2 linked regions of the Arabidopsis thaliana genome follow. The protein of the gene in region 1 purifies or fractionates together with the protein of each later gene. This does not show direct contact. Each region holds a gene or a part of one and is shown on either strand. Other genes may lie near its edges. The genes, in order: E1 ALPHA and LTA3.

Evidence for each region.
Region 2: the proteins of E1 ALPHA (region 1) and LTA3 purify together in Arabidopsis thaliana (affinity purification with mass spectrometry, with the first as the bait; one large-scale study listed by BioGRID). This does not show direct contact.

Annotation. Positions count from the first base shown.
Region 1 is NC_003070.9:22,047,916-22,056,230, forward strand, and holds E1 ALPHA (pyruvate dehydrogenase complex E1 alpha subunit), read left to right. Parts: upstream 1-3,217; 5' UTR 3,218-3,452; coding exon 3,453-4,131; intron 4,132-4,217; coding exon 4,218-4,297; intron 4,298-4,664; coding exon 4,665-4,742; intron 4,743-5,142; coding exon 5,143-5,238; intron 5,239-5,342; coding exon 5,343-5,468; intron 5,469-5,544; coding exon 5,545-5,610; coding exon of another isoform or gene 5,611-5,622; exon of another isoform or gene 5,623-5,644; intron 5,645-5,700; coding exon 5,701-5,745; 3' UTR 5,746-5,970; downstream 5,971-8,315. Other genes in the region: SNL5 (SIN3-like 5), read left to right, coding at 53-561, 778-1,398, 1,481-1,569, 1,647-1,785, 1,893-2,045, 2,124-2,284, 2,373-2,487, 2,579-2,755; AT1G59910 (Actin-binding FH2 (formin homology 2) family protein), read right to left, coding at 6,252-7,572, 7,669-8,315. UniProt on the Arabidopsis thaliana protein: The pyruvate dehydrogenase complex catalyzes the overall conversion of pyruvate to acetyl-CoA and CO(2).
Region 2 is NC_003074.8:19,357,451-19,368,260, forward strand, and holds LTA3 (Dihydrolipoamide acetyltransferase, long form protein), read left to right. Parts: upstream 1-2,755; 5' UTR 2,756-2,866; coding exon 2,867-2,961; intron 2,962-3,344; coding exon 3,345-3,401; intron 3,402-3,558; coding exon 3,559-3,613; intron 3,614-3,694; coding exon 3,695-3,728; intron 3,729-3,877; coding exon 3,878-4,155; intron 4,156-4,249; coding exon 4,250-4,294; intron 4,295-4,462; coding exon 4,463-4,536; intron 4,537-4,675; coding exon 4,676-4,745; intron 4,746-5,159; coding exon 5,160-5,351; intron 5,352-5,447; coding exon 5,448-5,492; intron 5,493-5,598; coding exon 5,599-5,672; intron 5,673-5,979; coding exon 5,980-6,049; intron 6,050-6,304; coding exon 6,305-6,694; intron 6,695-6,777; coding exon 6,778-6,838; intron 6,839-6,911; coding exon 6,912-6,956; intron 6,957-7,041; coding exon 7,042-7,125; intron 7,126-7,508; coding exon 7,509-7,585; intron 7,586-7,655; coding exon 7,656-7,718; intron 7,719-7,856; coding exon 7,857-7,927; intron 7,928-8,025; and 9 more. Other genes in the region: AT3G52210 (S-adenosyl-L-methionine-dependent methyltransferases superfamily protein), read left to right, coding at 9,585-9,686, 9,771-9,849, 9,943-10,037, 10,128-10,199, 10,279-10,388, 10,487-10,606, 10,690-10,782.

The sequences.
Region 1 (8,315 bases):
TTTAAGTGCAAGTTTGTGTCGACTAAAGTTGGTTGTTATGTCCCAAATGCAGGTTTAGTGGCGGAGATTAAAGATATCAGTGAGAGAAAGCATAAAGAAGACCTGCTTCGTGCCATTGCTGTTGGAACTAAGCCCTCTTTCACCCCAGATGTGGAGTTCATTTATACTGATACAAAAGTTCATACTGACCTATATAAGCTAATCAAGTATTATTGTGAGGAAATATGTGCTACTGAACAGTCGGATAAAGTAATGAAGCTATGGGTAACCTTTTTGGAGCCCATGTTTGGCGTTCCTTCTAGGTCTGAAACTATTGAGACAATGAAAGATGTTGCAAAGATCGAAGACAACCAAGAGCACCATGATGCAAGTGAGGCAGTGAAGGAAAATACATGTGACGGTTCTATGGCCTCAAACCTTAAACCGTTAACACCTCCAAAAATGCCTAACAAAGAAAACCCAATGATACAAGGAAGCTCTTTTGCGCAAGATTTGCCAGTCAACACAGGAGAAAGCATTCAGCAAGATAAACTGCATGATGTTGCAGCTATAACTAATGAGGTAACCGTATTGTTTCTTCCTGAGTACCTTTGTTCTTGACCTGAGGCCGTATTCACTTTTCACTGAGTAAATATAGTCAAAGGTTCATAAATCTGGACTAGTGGTGGTAGAGCGTATTTTACTGTTGGGCAATAAATGAAAGTTGCTTAAGTTTTCATAATATTCCTGTATGTGAAAAAAGATATTTCCTTGATATTTGTTTTTGTGGTTCTACAGGATAGCCAGCCTTCCAAACTGGTGTCAACCAGAAACGATTTGATAATGGAGGGTGTAGAGAATCGTAGTAGGGTCAGTGATGTATCAATGGGAGGGCATAAGGTCGAGCGAGAAGAGGGTGAATTATCCCCCACTGAAAGTTGCGAGCAAGAAAATTTCGAGGTTTATAAAGAGAATGGGCTCGAGCCTGTGCAGAAACTACCAGATAATGAAATAAGTAATACAGACCGAGAACCCAAAGAGGGTGCATGTGGTACTGAAGCTGTAACAAGGAGCAATGCCCTCCCTGAAGATGATGATAATAAAATAACTCAAAAGTTATCAGAAGGGGATGAAAATGCCTCGAAATTTATTGTCTCAGCAAGCAAGTTTGGTGGCCAAGTTTCTTCCGATGAAGAGCATAAAGGAGCTGAGAGTGAAAATGAGGCTGGAGGGATGGTTAATTCCAACGAGGGTGAAGATGGATCCTTTTTCACATTTTCAGAACGGTATCTGCAACCTGTAAAGCCCCTTGCAAAGCATGTGCCTGGGACACTGCAAGCAAGTGAATGCGACACCCGGAATGATTCTCGAGTTTTCTATGGGAATGATTCACTCTATGTGCTTTTTAGGCTTCATCAAGTAAGTGCTACGAAACAACCTTCTCATGTTCCTCAAATGTCAATTGTCTCAGTCCAAACCGCTAATTCTGCTGATTTTCCAGATGTTGTACGAGAGAATACAATCAGCAAAGATACATTCAGAGAGGAAATGGAAAGCTCCAGATAGCACATCTACTGATTCTTATACCAGGTGGTTTATTTTCTAAGCATCATTGGTACTTTTTAATTGAAAAAATATTATTTCCTAACTGATATTTGAAAGCTTAGGTTCATGGAAGCCCTTTACAATTTACTTGATGGCTCTAGCGACAATACAAAGTTTGAAGATGAATGTCGAGCTATTATCGGAGCACAATCATATGTTCTCTTCACATTGGACAAGCTAGTTCAAAAGTTTGTTAAGCATGTAAGCTTCCATTTTACCTTGTTATCGTCTTGACTCTGCTTCTGTTCTCTCTCCTTTATTTTTGTTTGCTCCGCACTAATCATTTAAGTGGCTTGGACATGCTTCAGCTTCACGCAGTCGCAGCTGATGAGACAGACACCAAGCTTCTGCAGCTATATGCATACGAGAACTACAGAAAACCAGGAAGATTCTTTGATATAGTGTACCATGAGAATGCTCGAGCCCTTCTCCATGATCAGAACATATACAGGATTGAATATGTATGCTTCTCTTGATATGTGTGGATACCTGTTTATATGTTCCCATATACTAATCTGTATTTGCAAATTTCTGTGCAGTCATCTGCCCAAACCCGTCTCGGAATTCAACTTATGAACAGCTGGAATGATCAGCCTGAAGTTACAGCTGTAACAGTGGAACCAGGTTTTGCTAATTATCTGCAGAATGACTTTCTTTCGTTTGTCAGTGATGAAGAGAAACCCGGACTATTTCTGAAAAGGTGAATGAAGCAATGATTAGAGCATAACCTTTTTTCGTCTTCAGTTGTGGTAGTACAGTTAGTAATCACCTTAGCATACTCTTTTCAGGAACAAGGCAAAATTAAGTGGTCCGGGTGAAGAATCTCTAGGGATGTCACGTGCCTTGGAAGGATTGAACATTATCAATGAGGTTGAATGTAAGATAGCTTGCAGTTCTTTCAAGGTAAAATACTTTCTTGTGAATCTCTTGCACTGATAATCTTTTCTCTTTTCACATGTATATATGATTGATGAGAGTTTACAATCTTCATTAGGTCAAGTATGAACCACACACAGCAGATCTTTTATATAGAAGAAAGCAGAAGAAAGCAACACTGAATCCAACTGGACCTGAAAATGTTAAAACCTCTGATAGTAGTGAACTCTCGAGAAAGAAACGAATATCGCGCTTTCACATGAGTCTTAACCGCAGACTTGTCGCCTTGCCTTAACTCAAGAACGCCGTAAGTAACCCTCTTGTCTTTTATTTGCCTGTGGTGATCAATACTGCAAATCATCAATAATCTCTAACTCACGATAAATTGTGCAGGTGTGAAGTTCTTTGCTGAGAATGAGATATGCAAGAATGAGTAGTAGTAGAGAGAGACTAGAGAATAACTGTCTTTGACAAAGATTCTTGCATCATTTTAGGCTCAAAGAGATTCACATGGCAACAACCATAGTTTTTATCTTCTACAGTCTACACTGCAGCTGGAGCCGCCAGTTTTGCTGTATAGTGTTAGAATATCTTTTTTTTTTTTAAGGATGATGCTAAAATTGGATATTTTTAATTCATTCATTGAACAATTATTGAATTTTCCTTCTAATGTTAAATTCTCTTTCAAATTAATAATCTCTTTAATCACATGTTTTATTTATTTATTTTGGTTTATCCATTTGGTTATTTATCTTTAATCACATTTGAGTTTGATTATATAATATGATTTTAAGAGAATATGAATATATATTGACTCTTTTATCACAGGTGTCACGTGACTCACGTGAGGCTGTGTACGGAAAACCTTCTTATCCTCTCAGAGTCTCTTATATTAGGATCGCTATCTACTGCTTCACTGAAATTGTCCTCTCAGTTCCTACGCGAAGTTTTCAACAGATTCGCCGGAGAATCTTCGAATCAACGGCGGAGAAATGGCTCTATCACGCCTCTCATCACGATCCAACATCATCACTCGTCCCTTCTCCGCCGCCTTCAGCCGATTAATCTCAACGGACACAACTCCGATCACAATCGAGACTTCGCTTCCTTTCACAGCTCACTTATGTGATCCACCGTCACGCTCCGTCGAATCATCGAGTCAAGAGCTTCTCGATTTCTTCAGAACCATGGCGTTGATGCGACGTATGGAAATCGCAGCCGATTCGCTTTACAAAGCGAAGCTAATCCGAGGGTTTTGTCATCTCTACGACGGCCAAGAAGCTGTAGCTATAGGCATGGAAGCTGCGATTACAAAGAAAGACGCGATTATTACTGCTTATCGTGATCACTGTATTTTCTTAGGTCGTGGTGGTTCGCTTCATGAGGTTTTCTCAGAGCTTATGGGAAGACAAGCTGGTTGTTCTAAAGGGAAAGGTGGATCTATGCACTTCTATAAGAAGGAATCGTCGTTTTACGGTGGTCATGGGATTGTTGGTGCTCAGGTTCCATTAGGTTGTGGTATTGCTTTTGCTCAGAAGTATAACAAGGAAGAGGCTGTCACATTTGCTTTGTATGGTGATGGTGCTGCGAATCAGGGACAGTTGTTTGAAGCTTTGAATATTTCTGCTCTTTGGGATTTGCCTGCAATTTTGGTCTGCGAGAACAATCACTGTAAGCATTTTTGCTTCTTTCTTTCTTTCTTTCTTTCTTTGTAGGTTTGTTTTGTCGTAGTATCTGATTGAATTTGATCTGTGCAGATGGAATGGGAACTGCTGAATGGAGAGCCGCTAAGAGTCCATCTTACTACAAGCGTGGTGATTATGTTCCTGGACTCAAGGTCAGCTTTTGAATCTTATTTGTAACAAGGATTGATGTGTGAGGCTTGTTAAGATGAGAAAGGGAAGTTTTGATTGGGTAGATGGATTAGTGTCATTTCCTGAATGATATAAGTTTCTTAGTTTCCATATAGAAACAGGTAGAATGCAAGTCTTAAGTAACTTACTACTACTCAGCTTTCATTTATAACCTCTCAGTTTAGAGATGAATGTGACTGTCTTATGGATAATGATTGTCATGAATCTTCTATTGTTAACAGAGATATGGTGTGCATCATTACCTTGTTCTTATTAGGTTTCTTGTAACCTGCATCAAGTTAGCAACTTTCTTTTGAGTTTGACCGGTTGCTGGTTTGTATGGATAAACAGGTAGATGGTATGGATGCATTTGCTGTCAAACAAGCTTGCAAATTTGCTAAGCAGCATGCGTTGGAGAAGGGGCCAATAGTAAGTTTGTATTTTAGTATTATCAGACGTTTTGTTTTTTTCCCCTTTGGTCCTTACTCATCTGGCGCATTTTGTAAATTTGCTATGAGCAATATCTAGCTGTCCTGTAGGACGTGAAGTATTAATCTTTCCTTTTGCATTTTTTAGTTGATATTTACTTCCCTTCAGTTCCTCTTTTTGGACACTGCATTCCAGTAGCTGAATATTGATGGGGTGGCTGGTTCTTTCTGTGCAGTTGCAATAGAAATTACGCTGTATCAGTGTATATCAAAGAAGTGTGTTTTTGATATCGCTGTTGTTCATATAAGTAGTAGCTTTGGTTTCCAATTTATTTTCCTGTGTTTATTCTTTCCTATCATATGGATTACAGAAGCATTAATACATCGTTTCTTCTATACAGATTCTTGAGATGGACACATACAGGTACCACGGTCACTCCATGTCTGATCCTGGGAGCACATACCGTACCCGAGATGAGATATCTGGTGTGAGGCAGGTTCGTTAGTCTCTTTACCTGAAAAATCATTTCTTGGTCGAGGACTCAGCTATTGATGAAATCTCAAAAGTCAAAACATTTATGTGCTACTCTATATGACTCAGGAACGGGATCCAATTGAGAGAATAAAGAAGCTGGTACTATCTCATGACCTAGCAACCGAGAAAGAGCTTAAGGATATGGAGAAGGAAATTAGAAAAGAAGTAGATGACGCCATTGCCAAAGCTAAGGTAAAACAACAGTTACATTACTACTTTCAAAGCGTAAACTCGAGACCCTTATGCGAAAATCTCTGTACCGTTTCAGGATTGCCCAATGCCAGAGCCTTCTGAGCTCTTTACCAATGTGTATGTGAAGGGATTTGGCACCGAGGTACTTCACTAATTAGATATTCATATTGCACCACGCCCCTTGAAACTATAGTTAATCTTTCTTATTGACCCATTTGTTTTCTGTTGGCAGTCATTTGGACCTGACAGAAAAGAAGTCAAAGCTTCCCTTCCATGATCATGGAGCTCTTGTTCGTTAAACTGCCACGTGTCATGAGAAAGTTGGCTGATAGAGAAATCTATGAATATGAATAAAGATCTGATTGTATACTCTCTCTCTCCCCCCCCTTCTGAACTTTAATCTCTCTGTATCTTTGTTTACAAACATAAGGAGAAACAATGTTATTCTTGTGAAGCTTTAGTAGTCTCGTGTTTAATATTCAAGCAATCGAGTTGAGATCTCATTTTGTGCTGCACTCCAAATAATATAACAAATTGAATTACAAACAAAGGCCAGTGGAATGGTTTCTTCTGTTTGTATTCTTCGTCTTTCCCAAAAAAAAAAAAGAATTCAACTTTGGCGTAACCAATCCATGAACCCGAAAAAAAAAAATCAACAAAACAGGTAAAATTGAAAGAACCATCTTCAAAGAACCTAATGAATATTTTTACCAACAAGCTCCCCTATCATTCTGTATATACATAATAACAAATGTAAATGATATTTTTTTGCTTTTCTGGTTATCAAGATTCTGAGTCTGAGTCACTTGAACTGCTGTACCTTGAACTCTCTGACATGAAATTTGGAGGCAGAATTGGAAATCTAACTGCGTTCCTTTGCGGTGCAGCAGCAACGCTCGGAGTTTCTGCTGGTGAACTTGATGCTCCTGCTACTGTTGTTGCAGGTCGTTGTTGCTGTTGTTTCCGTTGATTCCTTGCGATCTCACTACATGCATTATCAACCATCCCTAAGAAATCACGGATTATAACAAACAGTTGAAACAGGTTCCTCTCTTTCAATGCTCCAGCTTGGTAATAGTTTGTAGTTTTCTTCACTAACTCCATTATCCTAAGCTGTTCTTCCGTAATAACTTTCAGTTCTTCCTCCGCAGATTCAAAGAAAGATCTCAGCTTTGTTAAACACCCATCTTCCTTCCCTTTGCTTTGGTCTAAAAGACGTTTTGTTTCTTTCACTCGGGTGCCTAAAGCCAAGGTCGTAGCTACAAACGAATCATAATCAATTCCAGCCGCTTTCTTCACATTAGTGAACTCTGAACTTAAGCCACCTATAATGGGTAAACCCATCTTAATAAATTCAATCTCTTGTTCTTCTCTAGACATATCTGCATTCTCGCCACTACCATTATCACTAGACATCATGTTCTTATTCATTGCAGCTCGCTTTCCTTCAGACCTTACAACTTCTTCAACAACAAAATGAAGTAAGGTAGTTTTCGCATCAACACTCTTCACATCAGACAATTTTCTTAAAGCTGTCAGATTAAAAGCCTGAGCATTTCCCCTCGCGGTTCCAGCGTTCATTCTATTACCTGCTTTCAAGATTGCTTCTAGCAGCTTCATGAACAGCCCACGAGCACGGAGCTCGTTGCACGCGGATTCAAGTGTTAGTAAAGATCCCTTTTGTTGAGCAACCTCAGAGCCGTAGTTAATCTTGAAAAGCATAACGTTGAACCGGTTAAACGCGGAAGGAACTGCTTTTAAGATGTGAAACAGTAGAGAATCTGCATAAGCCAATGTCATCGGTTCACCATCGAAATCTATGATTTCTGTCTGTTCTTCTGGCGTTGGAGCTATTCCTGCAAGCTTCTCAAGGGTATCAGACTCAGCATCATGGCCTTCTGTTAACAAGTCAATGATCTCTTCTTTAGTCATCCCCAAAGATTTAAGCACAATTGCTTTGTTCTGAGATTTCCGAGGATCAAGGATATAAGTCTGATTATGCGGTACACTGTTTGAGACTGTCTGATTCTGCGGTACACTGTTTGATTCACTTGGTTTTCGAGCAACGTATCCAAACAAAGCCTCCATGAGATCACCATCAAAGCTACCCAAGAAACAAATATTATAACCGCATAAGAACTCAAAATCATACAGTACTTAAGAATATCACATTCCACATTATATAGACTTTAATACTTACTTGAAGGAGCCACCATCAATCTTGTGCCACACCATAGAACGGCTTGCATCAGGGTTCATCTTATCCCAATGTAAAGGCTTGAGCTTCGGCTGCGTCGGATCCTCAGTTTTGCCTACGGCCAATGAAGTCTCACCTGACTTTGTTGGTCCTTTTGGATTACCAGGGGGTTTAGGTGGGCCCTTCTTCGACATTGGAGGAGGTGGTGGCGGTCCAGCTCCTTTCTTACCTGGTGGAGGAGGTGGTGGTGGTGCAGCAGGTCCTTTTTTAGGTGGTGGTGGGGGAGGTGGAGCCGCAGCAGATGGTGGAGGTGGTGGTGGTGGTGAAGTTTGGTTTGCTGGACCAGGCGGTGCTGGTGGAGCATTTGCCGTGGTGAATTGACCCGGAGTAAGCGGTGTCGATGCTGACAATGCCGCATTACCGGGCATGTATTGACCCGGAGGAAGCGATACAGGCTGTGTGGATGTCGAAAATGGCGCATTCACCGCAGTGTATTGACCCGGAGGAAGTGGAACAGACGGTGCGGATGTAGACAATTGCGCATTCACCGCCGGGTATTGACCTGGAGGAAGCGGTGTCGATGAAGAAAATGGCGCATTTCCCGCCATGTATTGACCCGGAGGAGGCGGTGTTGATGAAGGAAATGACGC
Region 2 (10,810 bases), on another chromosome or scaffold:
AAACACAAGTCACTTGGCAAATCATGTTTTGACATGTGGCAAATTTATCAAAAACAAAATCCACAATGTAAAACAAAAATGAATTTTTCGACAAAACTCAAAATAAAATTAAATGTGAAAACAGTGTACAAAATTAAAACATTATCGTCAATTTTCCCACGATCACTCTCAAAAGAAAATAAAAATCAACCCACATATTCTCCATACTCCCACAATTTCTTTTTCTTCTATTCAAACTATGTAACTCTTTTTTTTCAATTAAAACATTCAAACTAACTATTGGGAAACAAAGACAGATACGATCTCAAACCTATATATACAAATCTCGGTATCATCTTTCTATTGTTGATATTGGTTTTTAAAAGAAGGTTGAGAGTAAAATCATTTAGGAGCGAGACCTTCTTTGTAACAAGAGTCTTCAATCTCTAATCAGTTCATATAAGGCAATATGGCCAGCGTATGTTATATTTCTTTTATTTTATTGATTGCGTTTAGATGAGTATATTAATGCTTTCTGTTTTTGAATTATCTTTTATTATGTATGTTTAATATCTTTTTGCTTCATAGATCAACCACTAAAAATAAACAAGCAAACTTGATCGATAGAGGATAAAACACAAACAAAGTAGAAGACTTGAGCAAGAAAAACACCAATGGCAAAGTAGTAGGAGGTTGAAGACGAAGTAGAAGTGTACAACATTAAGACATAAATGATATCATCTATGTATTGAGTCAACTTCACTCTGGTAACTTTTTTTTGTCTATGACTATAATCTATGTTTGTATTGAGTCTTTGAATACCATATGTAATTTTTTATTTTATAGCTTTTGTATGTATTCTAGAAAGCATTGAAGTTGGAAGCTAATTCTCTATATTTGGAAGACTAATAATTTTGTGATATCAACTTCAATTCTCCATTATATATCAAATTATCATCTGAAAAAATAAAATCCACAAATACATGAAACGATATATTTTTCCCTACACGATTATATACTAATCTATTTATAAAATTAATTTTTCATGTATAAATATCGATAATATGTAACATATCATAACATTTAAATTCAAAAAAAGAATGTATCATAACATTAATTTTCGGTGCTATGCACCGGGTATAATACTAGTTACAAATAAAGTATAAAAGGAATTAAACTTTTATATAGATAATTAACACAAACAAAATATTAGAGACGATTTCAAATAAATTATGAGGATATAGATGAGAAAAATACTATATAGAATAACAATAGTAAGAAATTAAAAATAAATAAATCAATTTGTACATATAAATTAGAAAGAAAAATATAGATAAATAATTAAACAATATTAATAGTATCACATAGGTCAATTAAAATTTTATATACAATAGTTAAAGAGTATTATATCTCAAAACTAAGTTTTGATACTGCGTAGAACAAATCATGTTTCAAGCAAAAATGATCAAATTCCTATGATGCTGGAAATGCTTGACGATCCACATGAGACTGGCTATGTGCATGTATGGAGAAAAACGTGTTGTTCGACAACGCGTGCATGCCTTCTTCCACCTAAGTGACGACGCATCACAAAAAGTTATCTAGTAGTGTTAATAGTTCATGTTCCATCTGCCGAAATTACACACAATATAACGTATTCGATTATTTGTTATCCAACAACTTAAACGATTCGACCAACTCACTCAACCTTTTGTCACTAGTTCCAGTCATATATTTCTTATAAATACTCGTTCACTACATCTGTACAGATCGAAAGAATCTCTTGATATATTACAACACACCCATAATTCATAAAGACTAGCTCATATACCTTTGATATATGAGATTTGATCTATATGTCGTTCTCCTTAACTAGATATCGCTAATTGGGCTTGCATTCAACAAGCAACATATATCGCTTATTACATTCGACGATACTCAGCTTCTACATCTTAAGTCTCTCTTTTTTTCTGAGCTCACCATCAAGTATAAGAACACAATTCTACCTCTTATTTGTCTACTCCCAATTTTTTGTTTTTGGTTTTTCACTATTCTGACATCTTATCGTATTATGATTAACGTTAAGAATGTCGTCTCGAAAATCACCTACCTAGCTATTGTTTCAAGATTCGACTCCCATGCGCGTCCCATCAAGAACAAACCATCCAGAAGCATCAACCTCCAACTATTAGAGAATAATGTCCCATTCGCCCCTCGCTGGTCAAATCGCTTCCATTTGATTCACATAAGTCCAACAACAACGATGATCTCTGGTGTACTACTACCAAAACTCAACCTTGAGACAGATTCTCAAAATACTATATGTTCTATTAACTATTTTAACTTGAATCAAGTTGATAATTGTAGAGAGAAATTTTTTGTTCACTTCTTATTAATTTGTAAAACATTTATTTTAAAACCCATTACCGTTAAGCTTTGATACAATGATACATGTTATTTTCTGATTAAAAATGGTTATAAACTTGAACGGTATAAGACTTTAGTGTATAGAGAACAATTTAGAGAATCTGTATTTATGTAACCGCGACCTTTCGGAAACGTAGAAGGTGGTCGCACAAACAAACCAATCAAACCCTTAATCGATGGCACTCTTTTAATGTCTAATAAACTTCGGTTCGTCACTCGACCGGACAATTAAATATGTGATTAAAAGTGTGAATTTCCGGTTCGGTAGAGATTACTGGTATTTGTTAATCCGGGCCGGACCGGGCCGTATCTGAATTATGAACACTTTCCTAATGTCATAGAATCGTTCGTGCCGTCGTCGCTGCGATCTGACCAAAATCAAAAGTGTTACGATTCGGTATCATCGTCTCTCTCATTTGTGATTTTGTCAAACCCTGCTCTCTTTTCTCCAAGTGCTCTCATGGTGCTTCCGCTCTTCCGGCGCGCTGCGATCGCCCGGACTTCCTCGCTTCTCAGAGCTCGTCTTTTCGCTCCTGCCTCCGAATTCCATTCTCGGTACGCTTATTCTCTCTATCTAGTCCCGCCTCTTTCAAAGTATTTTGATGTTGCTCTTCTTCCATGTGTGATCCTTTGCAATTCGATGACTGAACTGTTTCTTAGTTCGATTTCATTTTCCTTTTCCGCAATCATCCATTGACTTTTTTTGGAGTTCTTATTACGTATTGTATAGTGATGTTTAAGAATGCCAAATTTGGTTTTGTTGGAACAATTGAACTATCCATTTTTTCTTATCGAACTGGTAGTACGGGTTTATCTTCTCTAGTTTGTGAGATGTAATTTCCATTTTACGTCACTCGCAGTGAAGAACAAGTGTGTCCTTAAACTGGTGTGATCTCTTTACCTTTCCAATACATTTGACAATGAACTTTCTTATTCAGCTTTTCTAATGGACTATACCACTTGGACGACAAAATTAGTAGCAGTAATGGTGTGAGGTATGTGTTCCATATCACAAATTGAGGACAAGATTTATTTTTATAGAAAAAGTCAGTGTGATCGTAGGCATTCAAAGTTTAAGGTTATAATTTAGTTCGTTTCGTATGTGTTAGATTGTTAGTCTAGTTTGAGATTTTGTCTGTTCTACATTTTCAGGTCTGCCTCTATAGACTTGATTACAAGAATGGATGATAGTTCTCCAAAGCCCATTGTAAGTGAACAGCTAGTACTGTTTCTTTTCTTTTTTCACTTTCATCTATCCGTGTTTCTCACATACATTGTTTTCTTGTAGCTGCGATTTGGCGTGCAAAACTTTTCATCTACAGGTATTCATTGATTGTTATGTCATCTTATGGAATAATGATCTTCATAAATGAGTCAACCAAGCAATTCCATTATAGAATTACTAAACGAGTTGATTATGGGACTTTCATCTGATTTGAGCAACCTGTCGGCAATTGTTAAATTGTTTTAGCCATAAGACTTACCAACACAGATGTTAAGTGGGTGATAAGAATAATTAATGGAAACTTTCGCTTAACTTGTAGAAAAATAGAAATGTTAATTGATGCAGGTGCAAAAACTTCCATATCACTCTTTTCTCTGATGTTTGTGCTTCCATCATACCTTAGATACAGCGACAGGAGATGCAATCAATTATACAAGATTCTTCCATTAAATTATTATTTTCTTTGGGTTGTAGGACCCATATCACAGACGGTTCTTGCAATGCCAGCCTTGTCTCCTACTATGGTAGGAAATTTGACTTCAATCTTGTAAAGAATTTTGGCCTCCTCCAAGACATTTGGACTTCAATCATTGTTTTATGTTTGTTGGGCTTTTGCAGAGTCATGGAAATGTTGTAAAATGGATGAAGAAAGAAGGTGACAAGGTGGGTTATTTCTTATTTTTGGTTGACAAAATTTCAGTCGACTTTTATGATTTTGTCTACTAATGATCATTATACAAGAAAGACGATAAATTGATAATTTAGCTGGCAAAGAAAATATAGAATGTGGAAATTCTCAGTAACAGGTATGAATTTGGTTCTTCCTGACAGGTAGAGGTGGGTGATGTACTATGTGAGATAGAGACAGACAAAGCCACTGTAGAATTTGAGAGTCAAGAGGAAGGGTAATTTTGAAAAAGACGGTTCATGATTTTATGTTTTGATTTGTATTTTTATTTCATTATACCTTGGTAATTCAAATATCTGACTCCCTATAAGTATATGAAAATGTCAATTGGCTTACTATGAAGCATGGTTCTGCAGATTTCTGGCCAAGATTTTAGTCACTGAAGGATCAAAGGATATCCCTGTTAATGAACCGATTGCAATAATGGTAAGCACAGTGGCTGTCTTATACATTTATAGAAACCAAGTATGATCTCACAAAAGGTGATGCATGCATCAACATACGCTTATTAGGAGTTCCTGTTTGTTTATCTAGTCTGCTCTTGGCCTCTTTCACTTTCTTTCGTTTCCTGGGTTTACATTCTGGAAGACTTGACAAATCATAGAGATGTATGGTATTTCGTTGTCAATATTTATTGTGGAAAAATGTCCAAGATCCAATCTCATGCTCTCTTCTTCTAAATATTTCCGTTTGCCATACTGAGTTGTCATGTTATGTCCCCAAACATGATATATCGTAGGGTTTAGGGTGTAGCGTATATTGGTTACAGTTTTGGTCAACATCTTGCTACATAAGGTTGATGGATAAGAGTTTAATCTTATCTATTTAATTGTAACCAAGGTTGAGGAGGAAGACGACATTAAAAACGTTCCTGCTACCATAGAGGGTGGACGAGATGGTAAAGAGGAAACATCAGCTCATCAAGTGATGAAACCTGACGAAAGCACACAACAAAAAAGTTCCATTCAGCCCGATGCATCAGATCTTCCCCCACATGTCGTCTTAGAAATGCCAGCACTTTCTCCTACAATGGTATGAAATTTCATATTTTATGCTAGCTTTTTTTGGAGGAGAAGGCATTCAGCTTTCTATCCTAAGACTCTGAATTATTTGTTTATTGATGTGCAGAACCAAGGTAATATTGCCAAATGGTGGAAAAAAGAGGGTGACAAGGTTAGTTTCTGGTGACCCGATGAGTAAATTGGCATTGTAATTTCACCACAAGAAATCTGATGTTTATGCACTTGCCTGTGTTGATTCTTCTCATTTCATGAAACAGATTGAAGTGGGTGATGTCATAGGTGAGATCGAGACTGACAAAGCCACTCTGGAATTTGAAAGCCTTGAAGAGGGGTATAACTAACATCTTGTCGTCTTATTTCTTTTTCTAGGCAGTATGTTGATGTTCATTCTATATAGCATTCACTATCTGTGGATATTGCTTCTTTTCTTGTTTGGTTAAGTGAGAAGTAAATGTTAATTGCAAAAAGTAAGGTCTCTCCAAGTGTTCCCCCTTGAACTGATAGTGATTTAAAAGGTTGATTTCATGTTTCGTAGTTTTCATATGAGTATGGGCTTCCTCTACAAAAACTGATTTCCTGGATCAAATGAGTGAAGTTATATAATAGATTCTATAACTTGATGGATGACTTTTGTGTAGGTACTTAGCTAAGATTCTAATTCCTGAAGGTTCCAAGGATGTGGCGGTGGGAAAGCCGATTGCCCTAATAGTAAGTCTTTTAGTTCAAAAGTACATTGACTGAATTCTTTATGCCAGAAAACTGTATTACGACTGGTATATTTAATCCATTTGTTTTACTAGCCTGTGTGTAATGCATTTTGTGCATAAATTGGTCGACACTCTTCTAGTTCCATGCTACGTTATATATTGCCTGAAGTAAAAGTTATGCCTGCACAAAAAATCTTTGAAAATACAATTGCTTGCAGATTGGGGGATATAATAAGCTAATCGTTCTTCTCTGTAGGTTGAAGATGCTGAAAGTATTGAAGCCATCAAGTCTTCTTCCGCAGGTAGTTCTGAGGTTGATACAGTTAAAGAAGTCCCTGACAGTGTTGTAGATAAACCTACAGAGAGGAAAGCAGGCTTCACAAAGATCAGTCCTGCTGCAAAGCTATTGATTTTAGAACATGGATTGGAGGCATCATCAATTGAGGCATCGGGTCCCTATGGTACATTATTGAAATCAGACGTTGTGGCCGCAATTGCTTCTGGAAAAGCTTCTAAATCATCTGCGTCTACGAAGAAGAAGCAACCATCAAAGGAGACCCCGTCTAAATCCTCCTCCACATCGAAGCCTTCTGTGACACAGTCAGATAATAATTATGAAGATTTTCCAAATAGTCAAATTCGCAAGGTAAATTAACATATTTATTACTCTCTATGTAGAATGATGAAATATGTCCTGCTGCATTCTGTTTTACTTTCCCCACTTGGCAGATTATAGCAAAACGTTTATTGGAATCAAAACAGAAGATACCCCATTTGTATTTACAATCAGGTTGGTGACTCACAACCTTTGTATTTTCTTTGTGTATTTTATTTGCTGTTTAAGCATTTTATTTTGCCTGCAGATGTTGTATTGGATCCTCTTCTTGCATTTAGAAAAGAACTTCAAGGTTTGTAGACTGCTCTTATCACACATCCTGGTATTTATTAACAACTTGAGAGGCTCAGAGTGAACTGTACTTTCATGATCTACAGAAAACCATGGCGTTAAAGTGTCTGTCAATGACATAGTTATTAAAGCAGTGGCAGTCGCACTGAGGAATGTACGACAAGCTAATGGTGAGAAATTATTTTCTCCTCGTAAATGATTTCATTAAAAATAACTAAACTATGGTTTGTTCCCATCCCTAACTATGCGCTAGATTAAAACCTTAGTTCATCCTCTTTAAGGAAACTCGGCTTCCATGTTGGATTATTCTTGCAATGCCGTTTACCTCCGTTGAGAGTATTTAGTAAAGATGTTTTGAGATTGTAATACTGTAACATTCAATATGACTGGTAATGCATTTTAGACTCGGTTTTAGTCGTTACAAGTAGGACATTTTTTGGTGTGAGTTTGATGTAATGATTTGTGGATTGGAATCGTGTGGTTGTTTTTTCTCTTCTGCTTTCTCAAACCTTTCTTATGGTTGCTTAAAGTTCTCTTTCTCAATGTCTGGCAGCTTTCTGGGATGCTGAGAAAGGAGATATCGTTATGTGTGACAGTGTTGACATATCAATTGCAGTTGCAACTGAGAAGGTACACTTGTGTGTTTGATTTTCTGATCATTTCAACAGTTTATCCCTCATCATCTTGGCATTTTTTGCAGGGCTTAATGACTCCAATTATCAAGAATGCAGACCAGAAATCTATTTCTGCTATTTCCTTAGAGGTAATTTTATTCTCTCTGAAGTTAAACGAATATGGAAGGCTATAGAGGCACATATGTTTGATCAGTTCTTACCATATTCCATGTGTTGTTGATCGCTATAGTTATGAATTTTAATATGTCAAATGATTTTTGGATCAGGTTAAGGAGCTGGCACAAAAGGCTCGATCTGGAAAGCTTGCTCCTCATGAGTTTCAAGGAGGGACATTCAGGTATTCATCATTTTTAAGTTATTAAGCATAGTACGGAATTATCAATCATGTGTAACTTTTCCTACTTAACGAGAAAACCATACTTTATCGTTTTGCAGCATATCAAATCTAGGAATGTATCCTGTGGATAATTTCTGCGCAATCATTAACCCCCCTCAGGTAATCATAGCCTTAACGATGCACCCTGAATCACAGATTGAAGATTAAGTTTTGCTGTTTGTAATTTGTGGTGTAGAGGATTTAGTTTAATATTTATAGAGATGCAGATGTGTTTTTTTGGATAATAAACTTCAGGACTATCAATTGTCTTGCAGGCTGGGATTCTAGCAGTTGGTAGAGGAAACAAAGTGGTTGAGCCAGTTATTGGACTAGATGGTGAGCTAGTAGAATCCTTTTGGGTTTTCAACTAGGGTTGCTATTCTGATCATGGTATGACAAGTTTTCGTCATTGTTTCAGGAATTGAGAAGCCTTCTGTTGTGACAAAAATGAATGTAACGTTATCCGCTGATCATCGGATCTTTGATGGACAAGTTGGAGGTAATGGAACATTCATAAATCCCTTCGTTTCGAGTTTTATGTTATGCTGCTGCCATATTTCACTGTGTTTCTCCTTTGTTACTCATTGCTTTTTCTATGAAACCGGCTTTGTTTCAGCTTCGTTTATGTCTGAATTGCGTTCAAACTTTGAGGATGTTCGAAGACTTCTTCTGTGAGAAAGATCCAACTGTTTACCAAATGAATCTTGGATTACTACATAATAAACCTCGGACCAACCCACGTGCACATCCAGAACCAGAACTGCTGGTCTACATTGTTAACTCTGATCACATGTTTCATTTTTTTCCATTTGGTTCATATACTTACCAAAATTTGTTTTGGTCTTTAACAATTCGTCTTATAGATTGGTAACTTCCTGAGGTATTTTTTGTCTGGTCTGTCCTCTGCAAAATAAATAATTTCAGCTGTCAATCCGCAACTGGTGAAATAATTTAAAAAGTATTTTACCCTCATCAAAATTTTTAAAATGAGATTATTGCCATCTCTGTTCTACCAGATCTTATTGTTGAGCTCCAAGAAACGATTTATAGACTTATAGTGGTTAGTGTTGAATTCATCCGTTAAGTCTTTAACCAAGAGATTACAAAATTTCTATCCAAAATTTAGGGTTTAAGTACCATTACAAAAGAAGGAAATATCAGAGATTTGAAGGTGATGTAGGTTAATCATCTGAAGTAGTCTAATGTCTTGCAAATTGTGTTGTAATTTGTTCTATATATAAAGTTTTTGCATTTTCGGAGAAATAAAGAAAAAAATGATCACAATACATCCGAATTGATAGCATCGCATTCGCATAATAAAAACTTGTAGAATGAAAAAATGAAAAATCACATAATGAAACAAGAAACTATACGCTTACTTATTAGCATAATATGCTTTTATTTATATTTTTAGACGTAAGATCTACATTTTCATGAATCTTATGCATATTTTCTCGATTGGTTCTTGCATAATCGTATTAAAAACCCGTTATTCAACCATTATCCGTGTTACGAATAAAGTATGAAATATAAATGAAATATGGAGGCAACAGAAGAAGAAAAGTTTAAATGTGTGTCAAAATTGTAATTTTCAGAACTTCAGCCGGAGAAGAAAGACATGAGCGGCTTCGTGGTTTCAAAACCGGAGCAGAGCCATCATCGTCTCTTCGATTTCGCAAAGACGGCCATAATCAACATCTTCGCACATCCTTATGCCACTGTATCTAACAAACCCGCTTCCTCTCAACTCCATTTCATTTACAAAGTCTTATCCTTTATGTCTCTCTCTCTGCGTCTTTTCTAGGTTTGCGAATTGTACTGTGGCGGAGCTCCCGAAACCGACAAGTGGGAAGCTGCTCCGATTGGTCACTACATCGGAATTGGTATTAATATACTCTTACTTACATACTCAGTGTTATATCAGTACGGCTTCATCGAAGATTGATAGGTTTGCGTTTTTTTCTATTTGGGGGAAGTAGATACATCTTCTGGGATTTCTTCTGTACGAGAAGCTTGGGAGAGTCAGAGGAAGAATTACGATGTGGAATTCTTTGAAGCTGATCCTTCCAAGGCAAGGCCTTTTTTTGTTTTTCCATGTGTTTCAGCTAAACTAAGTAATCTGGAGCAAAAGTCTTAGTTTTTGCTTCATTTTGTGTCACAGGATGATTTTGAAATCCAGCTACAGAAGAAATTGGAGCAGGCTGATTTAGTTTCTTGTTGGCGCCATCTCCAGGTTTGAGATTTTGTCGTTTGTTTTCTCCGAAAAATGTAGCATAGCAAGGATGTGATGGTCTAAAATCTTCTTTATGTAGTTATGCTTTGAAACTGAGGAGAGTGCGAGAAGACTCCTAACTAATGTAGCATGTTTACTGAAACCAGGGGGTTATTTTTTCGGTATCACTCCTGACTCGTCTACGATTTGGTAATGATGTTTTCTGTATCAATGCATCAACTTCAGCATTTGATTGCCTATATATTTTGATCAGTTGGACTGCGCTCCTTAACATTCTGGTCAAACAGGGCAAAGTACCAGAAAAATGTTGAAGCATACCACAACAGAAGCGGTGCAAAGCCTAATGTATTTCCAAACTACATTCGGTCTGAAAGTTACATGATCACTTTCGAATTGGAGGAAGAAAAGTGAGCATTTTTTATCTGAGATAAATTCATTTTGCTATCAAGTTCCTTTTGTGAACTTGGACTGTTTGTCATTTTCTTCTCAGATTTCCGCTGTTTGGAAAGAGGTACCAGCTGAAATTTTCTGGTGACAATGCTTCTGAAGACCATTGCTTGGTTCACTTCCCAAGCTTAATCAGGTGGGTTCTCGGGCACCATGATCTCGCT